Nothobranchius furzeri: one gene and its partner. The protein of the gene in region 1 purifies or fractionates together with the protein of each later gene. This does not show direct contact. Links are inferred from orthologs where the notes say so. Each region holds a gene or a part of one and is shown on either strand. Other genes may lie near its edges.

Region 1 (4,674 bases):
TTGTATTTTGATAGGTCCATTTTGATTTGGGGGCTTTAAAAGGAACTCCTGCTATGAGGACGCGTGTGCTCTAATAAGCCACACGTTTTCTGTTGTACCAAACTATGTTGTTAGAAACACAAAATATTGCTGTTTATTTATAAATCTATAATATTTAGCACATTTTTGGACATACGTAGGATGCCATGTTTTCCGCATGCTATGCACTCTGGGGGTGATGATGTATATTGGTTGCTCTTGGAAGAATAGCTATTGACGCTAGTGTTTGTTTACATGCTCACTGTATTAATAATGAAGTAAAATGCCGCATTGTGCTGCTTTTGGATGTAATTTCCAGTCAAAGAGCAACAAGGGGAGTGATGTGAGTTTACACAGCTGTAGAGTTAAATCTGCATACTGGAATCACCTCTGTTGCTATTCAGTGGAGATTCCGAAGAATGACCAATCAGATTAATTTATGAGGCTTAGATCATATATAAATACCCTGGATACCTATATATGGCTGTTATGATCTTGAGCAGACATCTTGGCTCCTTGGGTTAATCTGTGGATCCAAAAGTACTGTTTGACCCAGCTTGACCCAGCTGGGCAAATGTGACCTTTGCCACAAATCAGAGAATCTGCATCACGCTACACAGCTTTCCCACTGGCAAGAAGAGGAGAAAGCAGTGGGAAGAGGCCTGTGGACGGACACAACTTCCCAAAGATCCGCGGTTGTGTTCCCAACATTTTTCTCCTGATGCGTTTGAGGCTTATAGTCGACCACAACGACTTAAAGAGCTCACCAGAGTGGTTGGGTGTAAGAGAAGGTGGAAACTAAATGCTTTAGCGACCATTTCCCCACACAAGGAGCCTAAAAGCCCTCGGAGAGACAAGAGATGCTGGATGCTCTCCTGAACCGACAACCCGCTCCTTCAGCTGCCGCTTCTGTCATGTTCAGCCAACCATCGGACACGCCACTTGTCACGGATGTAGCTGAACGTTCACCTCTCCCATCAGTAAAACAAGCAGTAAGTGTAGCAACACAGTGTTGTCTACATATATAATATCTGCAATAGGGATGGGTACCTTTGACATTTGAATCGATCCGGTACTAATTCCCGGTACCTACGAATCGATACCGGTACTTAACGGTACCAATTTTCGATACTTTTGAGTGTTTATTTTAATTCTCTTTTATAATTAAATATATATTTTTCTCTATATATAACAATATTTGATGAATATCACGATAAATAACATTCAACTGTTTGTATTTTAACATGGTCCTTGTAGTTTTATAAGTTGATAATTAAACTGAAGCAAACATCTTTACTGTGAACTAAATTTACTGTGTATCTTCATTCCTTTTGCCGTCTTTTTTCATTTGATTTCTCCTACTGGGAAGTTAGAATTTCCGAGGAGAAAGCGAACGCACCATTAGCTGATAACAACGGCAACGGTGGCAATGGAAGCTAACATATTAAGCTAACGTTAACTTTAACAGTTTATTTAACTGCTGGAGCAGATTAAAACGATGATGCCTCACACTTAGATCGTTGTCGCTGGTTTCTTCTTCACCCAATCACCCGTCGCATTTAGTGAAGTGAAGCCAAACTTTAGAGCGCATTCATGTTCTTCTAGGCGGAAATTCGGAGTTCCGAGGAGAAAGCGAACGCACCATTAGCGAAACGGAAGCTAACATATCAAGGTAACGTTATCTTAAACATTTTATTTACCTACCGGAACAGATTAAGATGAGGATGACTCACTTAGATCATTGTCGCTGGTTTCATCACCCAGTTACCCATCACATTTAGTGAAGTAGACCCAAGCGTTAGCGTGCGTTCTTTCTACCCATGCTGCTCTGTTTACAACTCACTCGCAGGGACCGACGACATAACGCTCTTGCGCATGCGCAGCTGTCTAGGCAAGTTCTCGTTATGATGGACGGGTACCGAAAGGAGGCACCGTTTGAAACGACGTGAATCGGTGCTCGGTCGGTACTATGGAATTTGGTTGGTACCTTAAAAAGTACCGAATTCGGTACCCATCCCTAATCTGCAACAATGATTAAAGTGGTTTCACTGAACATCCTGATCATCTATGAAGCACACGACAGCTCTGGATGCTAATAATCTCCTAAATCATTCATAACTGAATAAGTTTGATCACACGAAAGCTTACCGTTAACTTCTGCTGACAAATGTGAGCACTCTCCCTCAGTTACCATGGAGACCCATTTGCCGCACATGCGCCACCGGTGTTGTCCAGCTCTCGCTTCATCCCGCCCTTCCTGCTCTTCATGTTGACTCTCGTCTTGTGAAACGTGGTCAGTGATGTCACCATTAATGTTTCACTCTGGTTCAAAGTGAAAAGGCTGAACAGATGACGTGTTGATGTCGCTGAACAATCACTACAGGGTCCCAAAGCCAACCGGTGCTACCGAGGTACAACCAATTGATGTCACTACCCAGAGTGCATTGCGATGCTAACAACAATGGCGACCTATGAGTTAAACTATTTTTACTAATTTTATAAAAATGAAGACATTAAGAAGGTTTTTTACACCATTTTAATATAACTGATACTAACATTTATCTTTTAAGAACCACACAGTTTTGTAACCTGGGTTCCTTTTAAACAAATTAAATTTAATAGGAAATGTTAAAGATGTCAGAGGGTTTTTTGTCATATTTATAAATGATAGATACATTTCCAGATCAGTGGTCCTCAATAGGCGGCCCGCAGACCGAACCCCCCTGTTTTGTCTGAAGTTAAACCAGGAGGGGACAGGTGCTGTGCTTCATTATATTGTAAGCTTGTGTGTTTTGTGCAGTACAGCAAGCGCTAGAAACACCCCCCCACCCCGACATTCCTACAGCACTGCCCCGGTCCGTACCTCTTGCTCCTGGGTCTGTTTGTTGAGTGGCCCTCGGACCATTATAATTGAGGACCCCCTGTTCTAAATGATATAAAACTGTTGTGTGGTTGGGTTGAGCTGCACATGTCATCTCCTCCTGTTTTCCTTACAGTGAAGGTGGTGGCTTGTTATGCAGACCTGGATGTGGTCGTTACTCAGGTATGAGAGGAAACTCAGCTGTCATTTGACTCAACATTTAACTTCTAACGATTCTTAGAAACTAGTGTTGGTGCCAGCATGGCCTTGCTGCCCCCTCTGCTCTCACCCTGCTTATCTAAACCCATAAAAACTAAATAAATGTTATCAGGTCTGCGGTTCAACGTCCACACGTATCCTTCCGCAGCTTGGTGCCAATCCCAGTTTCCTTGATGGTGAGAAGCTGGGACGGGGCCAGTCTGGGAAACTTGCCCAGGGAGGCACGCTGTACCTGGTGGACCAGAACCACCCATTCACACTCACCTTCTCCCTGAGCTCCAAAGCACAAGACCCCAACATGCCCAGGAGGAGCTTGAAAGCCACGGATAAGACCAATGGAGGGAGGAACGGGACGCAGAGGGATATTAAGCCCAGTCTCACGTCTAAACACAGTATAAAAGATTTCTTCTCCAGCTCTCCCTCTAAGGCAAAACATGGACAGGTATACCTGTTTCTGTCATGTTATTAATAATAGAAGGTATAAGACTTAATGTGTTTTTCTGAAGTTCTCTAAAAGGCAGCTGAGCCCAGAGAGCAGACTCCCTGAGGGCAAGCGGCAAAAGTTGGAGGAGGAGGAAGAGGAGAGAATCATCGAGGATAAGCTCAAACATCTGCAAGAGTTTGCTGAAAAGTCTGTGACAGATGAAAGCAAAGACGACCCGTCTCCATCGTTGGTGCGTGGGGGTGTGAGGAGCAGCTGGCAGCAGATAGGAGCCCTGATGGTTTACACTGCTGAGGGGGTCACAGGGAGCAGCAAGGTTTAAATTCACTTATTTTTACTGAAACCCTTTTTTGTTTAACCCCCCCACCCACTGTCCTAATGGGTGACCCCGTGAGGAAAGTTTACCATTGAGCAGGGTTGATGGTTTATCTCTTGAGGTCCACGTGGCAGGGGTCAGGGGGTGCTCACTCCTCACTCCTGCCATGCGGACCTCAAGGGATAAACCATCAATCCTGCTCAATAGTCAACTTTCCCCGCGGGGTCACCCATTAGGACAGTGGGAGGGCTAATAGTTTGAATGCTATTACAGCATTCAAGCTAAAGTGTTCCCGTTTCTCTTTTTTATTATGTCTTCTTTTTTCTTCCATACATTTTTGGAACCGTTTCAGTGTTTCCCCTAGAAATGTTTCCACCCTTGGGGTGGGGGGGTGTCATAGTCGTGGCGCTAGAATTTCAGGCGCACCAGAACAGATGTAGGGGTAACACAACTACCTCAGATTTTCAGCTATTTCAGCAAATTTGGTATGAAAACGTTCAACTCGGTGAGCTCTTTCCTTGCGTTACATTTGGCATTGATATCTTTAAAGAGCAAGTCACACCAAAAGCAACTTTTTTTGTTGTTAACTTGTATAAATGAGTATCTAAAAGTGTTGTAGGCATATGTAGTCATTATTTTTGCATTTTGATGAATTTTCTTTGAAAACTCAAAATTCTGCCTAAAACAGTCGGTCTAGCCCATCTTCAGCTCAAAACTATAGAACACGTTTATTTTGAGTTGATTTAAATCAACTACACAGCTAAAGCTTCATTAGCTGCCTGAATAGAAACCTCGGGCTACCAGAGGTCCTTGCACTTG
Region 2 (5,317 bases), on another chromosome or scaffold:
AAAGGCGCTATATAAATAAACTTTTACTTACTTACTTACTTACTTAAATATAACTTTAGCCCTCCTAAATCTGATTTCATAAAATTATTAACTGCGCTTCCTAAAGAGGTGGTCTTCCAGTACAGAAACATTATTCAACACCAACCTATAAATCCACAGTATGGTTCTATCTCCATCCAAGGTGTTCCCCTTATGGATAAAAAGTGTACCACCCAATTTATTAGACGGTGTTTTACTGATCAACTATACCCTTGTAAAGTCAACAAGAACAACATAATTTACAAATTTGGTAAAAGCTCCATTATTAAACTAAGGATTCTTTATTTAAAACTTCCTATTCAACCTAAAGTCAAAGAAACACATTTTAAAATTTTAAACAATGTCTATCCCTCATAGGATCTGCTCAGAAAATGTTTTAACATTGATGATAATTCATGTTCCTTTTGTGAGAAGGATGTTGAAACAACTGATCATATTTTCTTTGAATGCAACAAGACACGGACGTTTTGGAACTGTTTTGAAAACTGGATTCAACCTCAAATTGGAATCCCATGTCCCATTTCAAGAGATGTCGTCACCTTTGGAACTCTCCTTCAAACAAACAACCAAGAACTCTGCTACAATCTACTTCTCTATCTGGCAAAATTCTTCATACATAAACAAAAAATACTGAAATCACCCCCTGTGTTTAATGCATTTGAACATGATTTTAGATTGTATCTAAGATCCCTTAAATGTGTCAATAATAACAGCTATGAAGATATGTATAGACTGTTGTGTAGACTTCCTGGAACTGTGTAGTGATCCCTTGCATTGTTTGTTTTTGTGTATTTTTTTTTGTCCTCCCCCTTTTCACTGACTGTTCGATTCTCATCTGAATACATTGGCATGTTCGCCTTATTTATAATGTAAATATGCTTTTCTGCAATAAAAAAAGGTCCTACTCACTGGCATGCTGAATCCAGCCTCATGCAGTTAGCTGAGACGGCTTCCAGATGTCTGAGAAAACACTAGTTTTCTGTATTAGTTTTATTAGTTTAATCAATGGTTGATGTTATTATTGGTCTAAAAACAGCTGAAGAATATTGAAATTTTGTTGTGGCTCAGATTTTACTATGCTACATTACAATAAAACAACCCCCTTTCTGACTTGCTGTGTCTGCCAGTCAATTTGTGGCCAAACAGATTTTAGAGTATCTGCTCCTAAAACTGTTCTTTATGTTGACGGTGTGGAAGAACTCATGATCTGACGCTTTTCTCCTTCACCGTCTCTGACGGCTGGTGTTCAGACTGAGACCAAGTCAGATTTCAACCAGCTGTTTTTGTCTTCACATGATAAATGTGTGTCTAATGTCCATGTCATCATACCTCATCGAACTTCAGAGGTGATTTCATAATCTGATATCAAAAACCCCTATTCCTGTGTTTCTAATGATAAAGCCATGAACCAATCACACCTACAGTTTGTGTGACGGTTAGTGCTTTGATCAAAATGTCTATAATCTCAACAAATTCTTAACTTGGCAAGATGGTGTAAAGTGGTTTGTGTTTACCATGAAGATCCTGTCTATTGAAGTACAGATAAAACACTACCTATATGGCCAAATAAATACCGTCATGAAAAATTAAAATTTAATTATATTGTGGGGGGTTTCCATTCTTACTTCAAACATCTAGACAGCACTGAAAAACCATTTTAGGGTTTTAACAGTGTAACCACTGAAGGATCCATGACTACCCACTAACAGTGGGTTAATTGGGATCAGAGGTAACTGGATTGGTTTTATTATCTGAATGATGAAAGTTTCTTTGTAAATATTAGAAACTTTTTTGTGCACCCCGGCTCCTTTTTCCTGTGGTGTTCCACAGGGTTTAATCTCTGCACTACTGCAACTAATGTGGGATCTAAAGAAAACATCAAAAATTTCCAAAAACTTCACAAATGGTAGTACAATTGTTTAGATTTTAATACTTAACAGCTAAAATGTCTACCAAAAACATAAATAAATAAATAAATAAATAAATAAATAAATTACAGCTATTTGATCTCACATGCCTGTGAAAAAAATACTGCTCTATTGTGTCGCTTGCTGATGACGTCACATCGCAGGCGCCGGTTGAATCTTAAAACAGTTGCTAAAAGAGTGAAAACTTGGATTTTTCCTTAAAAAGCAGCTACCAACGTGATCCGGTACCACTGGAGGTAGGGCAAAAACTATCATGGTGTCTTTTTTATGCGAACGAGCTTTTTTTTTGCTCATCTTCTCACGTGTCGGCATCCGACTTTTGTTTACAAACAGCTCTGACATCTGAGAACTAGTTAACCTAGCTGCTGCTAGTTCGTTCGTGGTAACGCTAGATTATATCTTTAGCTCTACTTTGAAGGGTTAGGACTTAGTCAGAAATTTTATTTTTCTCTCCGGGGTTTAAAATCAGGTAGACGCAGCCAGTAAATAAAAGCAAAACAACAAACAAATTAGAAACATCAGCAGTAGATGAACAGATGTTAATGCTAATATCTGTGAAGGTGCATGAAAACACTTCCAAATTTATTTTAAGTTTATTATTTGAAATTGATTAAGTCATTAGAAGATGATAATTTTAATTTTTACTTACAAAGAAAGTTAGCAAAATGTGTTGGACTTGGTTTTCACACGTCTGTCTTTTGATAAGTACAGTATGCTATGACTTTAAGAATTGTCAATGTATTTTTTTCATTATCATTTATTAAATGTTTTATCATGATCACCTTGTCCAGATAAATAAATGTCCACTGGCATTTTATGGTCATATTCTCAGATATCCACGTTATATCTGACAGCTTCCCAAATCACCGTATTGAGGCTTTTTAGGGAGTTTATTTTACGTTTTGATGAACTGCTTTTGTTTTCACAATCTTGATAAAGTTATTCTTCTTGTTCTGTCCTCACTCTGGTCTTTATTACCCTATTTATTAATTTTCTGAGCTGTTTAGACTGGTTTGCAGGTAGCTGGTGCCTATCTCCAACATTCAAAAGGATGTTTACAATAATTTACATAATGTATTGTGCAAAGATTCCTCACCTTAGTCCTCATTAGATAAAACAAGACATTTGACGGTCCTAAGTATCTTTTATTAGTATTTATCTGTATTTTGAAGGCTATCTTGCCCCTACTTTAACCTAAATCTAGACCATTTGATGTATTTTTTTTATATTTGCGGACTTCATAAAGGATTTAGGTAATAGTAAAAACACTGTTTTCCCTCCATGTTCAAAACTGTTTAAATGGTTAGTCCATCTTCATGTAACCATGTCATCACTCCTAAGAAAGCACCAGTGGTTCAATATGGAGTCTTGTCCATCCATTCCATCCATTTTCTGCAGCAGCAAACTGTCCCCATTATAAACAGTGTTGGTAGTGCACTGATTTTGTCTCCTGAGGTGCAGAATGGTGGACCAGAATCTCTTCAAAGCCATATGGAAGTCTTGCTCCATGGTCTCATCGAACTCCTCCCATGCCCGGGTTTTTACCTCTGTGACCACCCGGGCTGCATTCCGCTTGTGTACCCATCAGCTGCCATGCGTCGAGGCGGGTCCGACTATTTCTAGTCAGAACCTCTCAACCTCGTACACCAACTCAGGCTCCTTCCCCACCAGAGATGTAACATTCCACGTACCGAGAGCCAGCTTCTGTAGCCGAGGATTTCAAGTGGCGCTCGCTGCAGAACCACAAAGGCGGAGCTGCACCAGAGTCAGCCCCGCCCATTCCAGAATCAGCCCCGCCCATTCCATCAGAGTCAGTCCAATTCCTTCCAGTTGTCAGACTTAATAGCATTCTGGAACCAAAGAGGGTGTTATATATCATCCAAAATGCAAGATTGAGGACTGAGTCGAGAGGTTACTTGAACCGTTTTTGTAAAGGTTCCATATAATTAAAGATCTAACTTTTGGAACTTTTTATCATCTTATATTGTCATTTCCTCATAATCAATCAATCAAAGATACTTTATTAATCCCAGAGGGAAATTAGAGAAACACGCCAAAGCCATTTTTGGCCTCATTCACACATTTACCTCCCATCTCAGCTTCAATTTGGTCCTCTTCTCCGAAGCGGGTCTGGTCTTGGTTCTCAAATCTGAATATTCTGTGAATTTTCTGACAAATTATTTCTGAAATGGCTTCTACTGAGACGCCGCCGAAAAACCATACATCCTGTCTACAAAAACACACTGGATGGGACAATTACATGTGACGCCACTAGCCTGTTACCAGATGTAGTGGTGAAGTGGTTGGGCAGTCAGCTTGGCATGTAGTTTTGCGCAGGTTCGCCTCCCGGTAGCGGCGCAAACTTTTTTCTTCTTTTCTAGCTACACTTGCCAGTACTATGTTTACAACCATTTATTGGTATACCGTTTAAAATATGACTAATGTGTTTTTTATTTATTCATTCATTTATTTAGCCAGTGTGAGTCCATTTATGAGCAGAGTTTCAACTAAAACGCTGTTTAGAAATGACCAAATTCAAATAACTTGTAGAGACATAAATATTTTGCAGAAAATAAACATTACAACTAAAATATAAACAAATTAAATGTTTCAGCTGGCTAAATAGATTGCTGCCAACCCCACCGAGAGTCGAACCAGCATCAGCTGAGGGGAAAGCAAAACTTAAATTTTGACGATCTTGCCACTAGACTACCATAGCCCACTAAATAATTATCCTTACAGTAAGTGCTGTTGTAGGCCGGTTCTGTTGGAGCAGCTATGGGCTAATATTCGCTAAAAGAAACCTTTTCTTTTCAGGATATATTCAGGCTTTGTCATGTAGCAAGTTATATTTGTCTTGCTTAATTGGAGCATAGAACATAGCATTAACAACTGTAAACTAGTAACAGCCGTAATTCATGTGGGTCAGGTTAGTTTGCGATAAAATAATATAAAAAAAAAACAACAGAAAAAGTCAGTAGGCTAGGCTGTTTGCGTGAGTGGGTGGGGCTGACTGGTGCAGCTCTGCCTTTGTGGTTCCGCAGCGAGCACCCTCTCGAGGATTTGACCGCCAAGGTCCCCACCTTCGGCTACCACCAATCACACATTGCACCCGATCCCTTTGGCTCTCCCATATGCGTGTGACCCAGCCGGGCTCCTCGAGTGAAACCTGAGGTTTCACCCCTGGCCAACAGGCGTTTGCCGACGTGCCCCACCTCCTGGCCTGTCTCCATAGGGCGGCCCCGATGACCCGCGTCTGGGCAGGGGAACACTGTTTCCATTTGTCTTGTTCTTCATAAAGGGTCTGTGGGCGCAACTTTGACTGATCCCTCACCTAGGACCTGTTTGCC

The links. The genes of interacting proteins can lie anywhere in the genome.
Region 2: the proteins of pnkp (region 1) and xrcc4 purify together in Homo sapiens (co-immunoprecipitation; 5 studies listed by BioGRID and IntAct, counting the BioPlex papers as one, with this or other methods). This does not show direct contact. The link is inferred for Nothobranchius furzeri from reciprocal best matches to the Homo sapiens genes PNKP and XRCC4.

Annotation. Positions count from the first base shown.
Region 1 is NC_091753.1:66,377,080-66,381,753, reverse strand, and holds part of pnkp (bifunctional polynucleotide phosphatase/kinase), read left to right. Parts: intron 1-3,014; coding exon 3,015-3,061; intron 3,062-3,245; coding exon 3,246-3,539; intron 3,540-3,603; coding exon 3,604-3,855; intron 3,856-4,674. UniProt on the Homo sapiens protein: Plays a key role in the repair of DNA damage, functioning as part of both the non-homologous end-joining (NHEJ) and base excision repair (BER) pathways.
Region 2 is NC_091746.1:37,569,460-37,574,776, reverse strand, and holds the start of xrcc4 (DNA repair protein XRCC4), read left to right. Parts: upstream 1-2,075; 5' UTR 2,076-2,203; intron 2,204-5,317.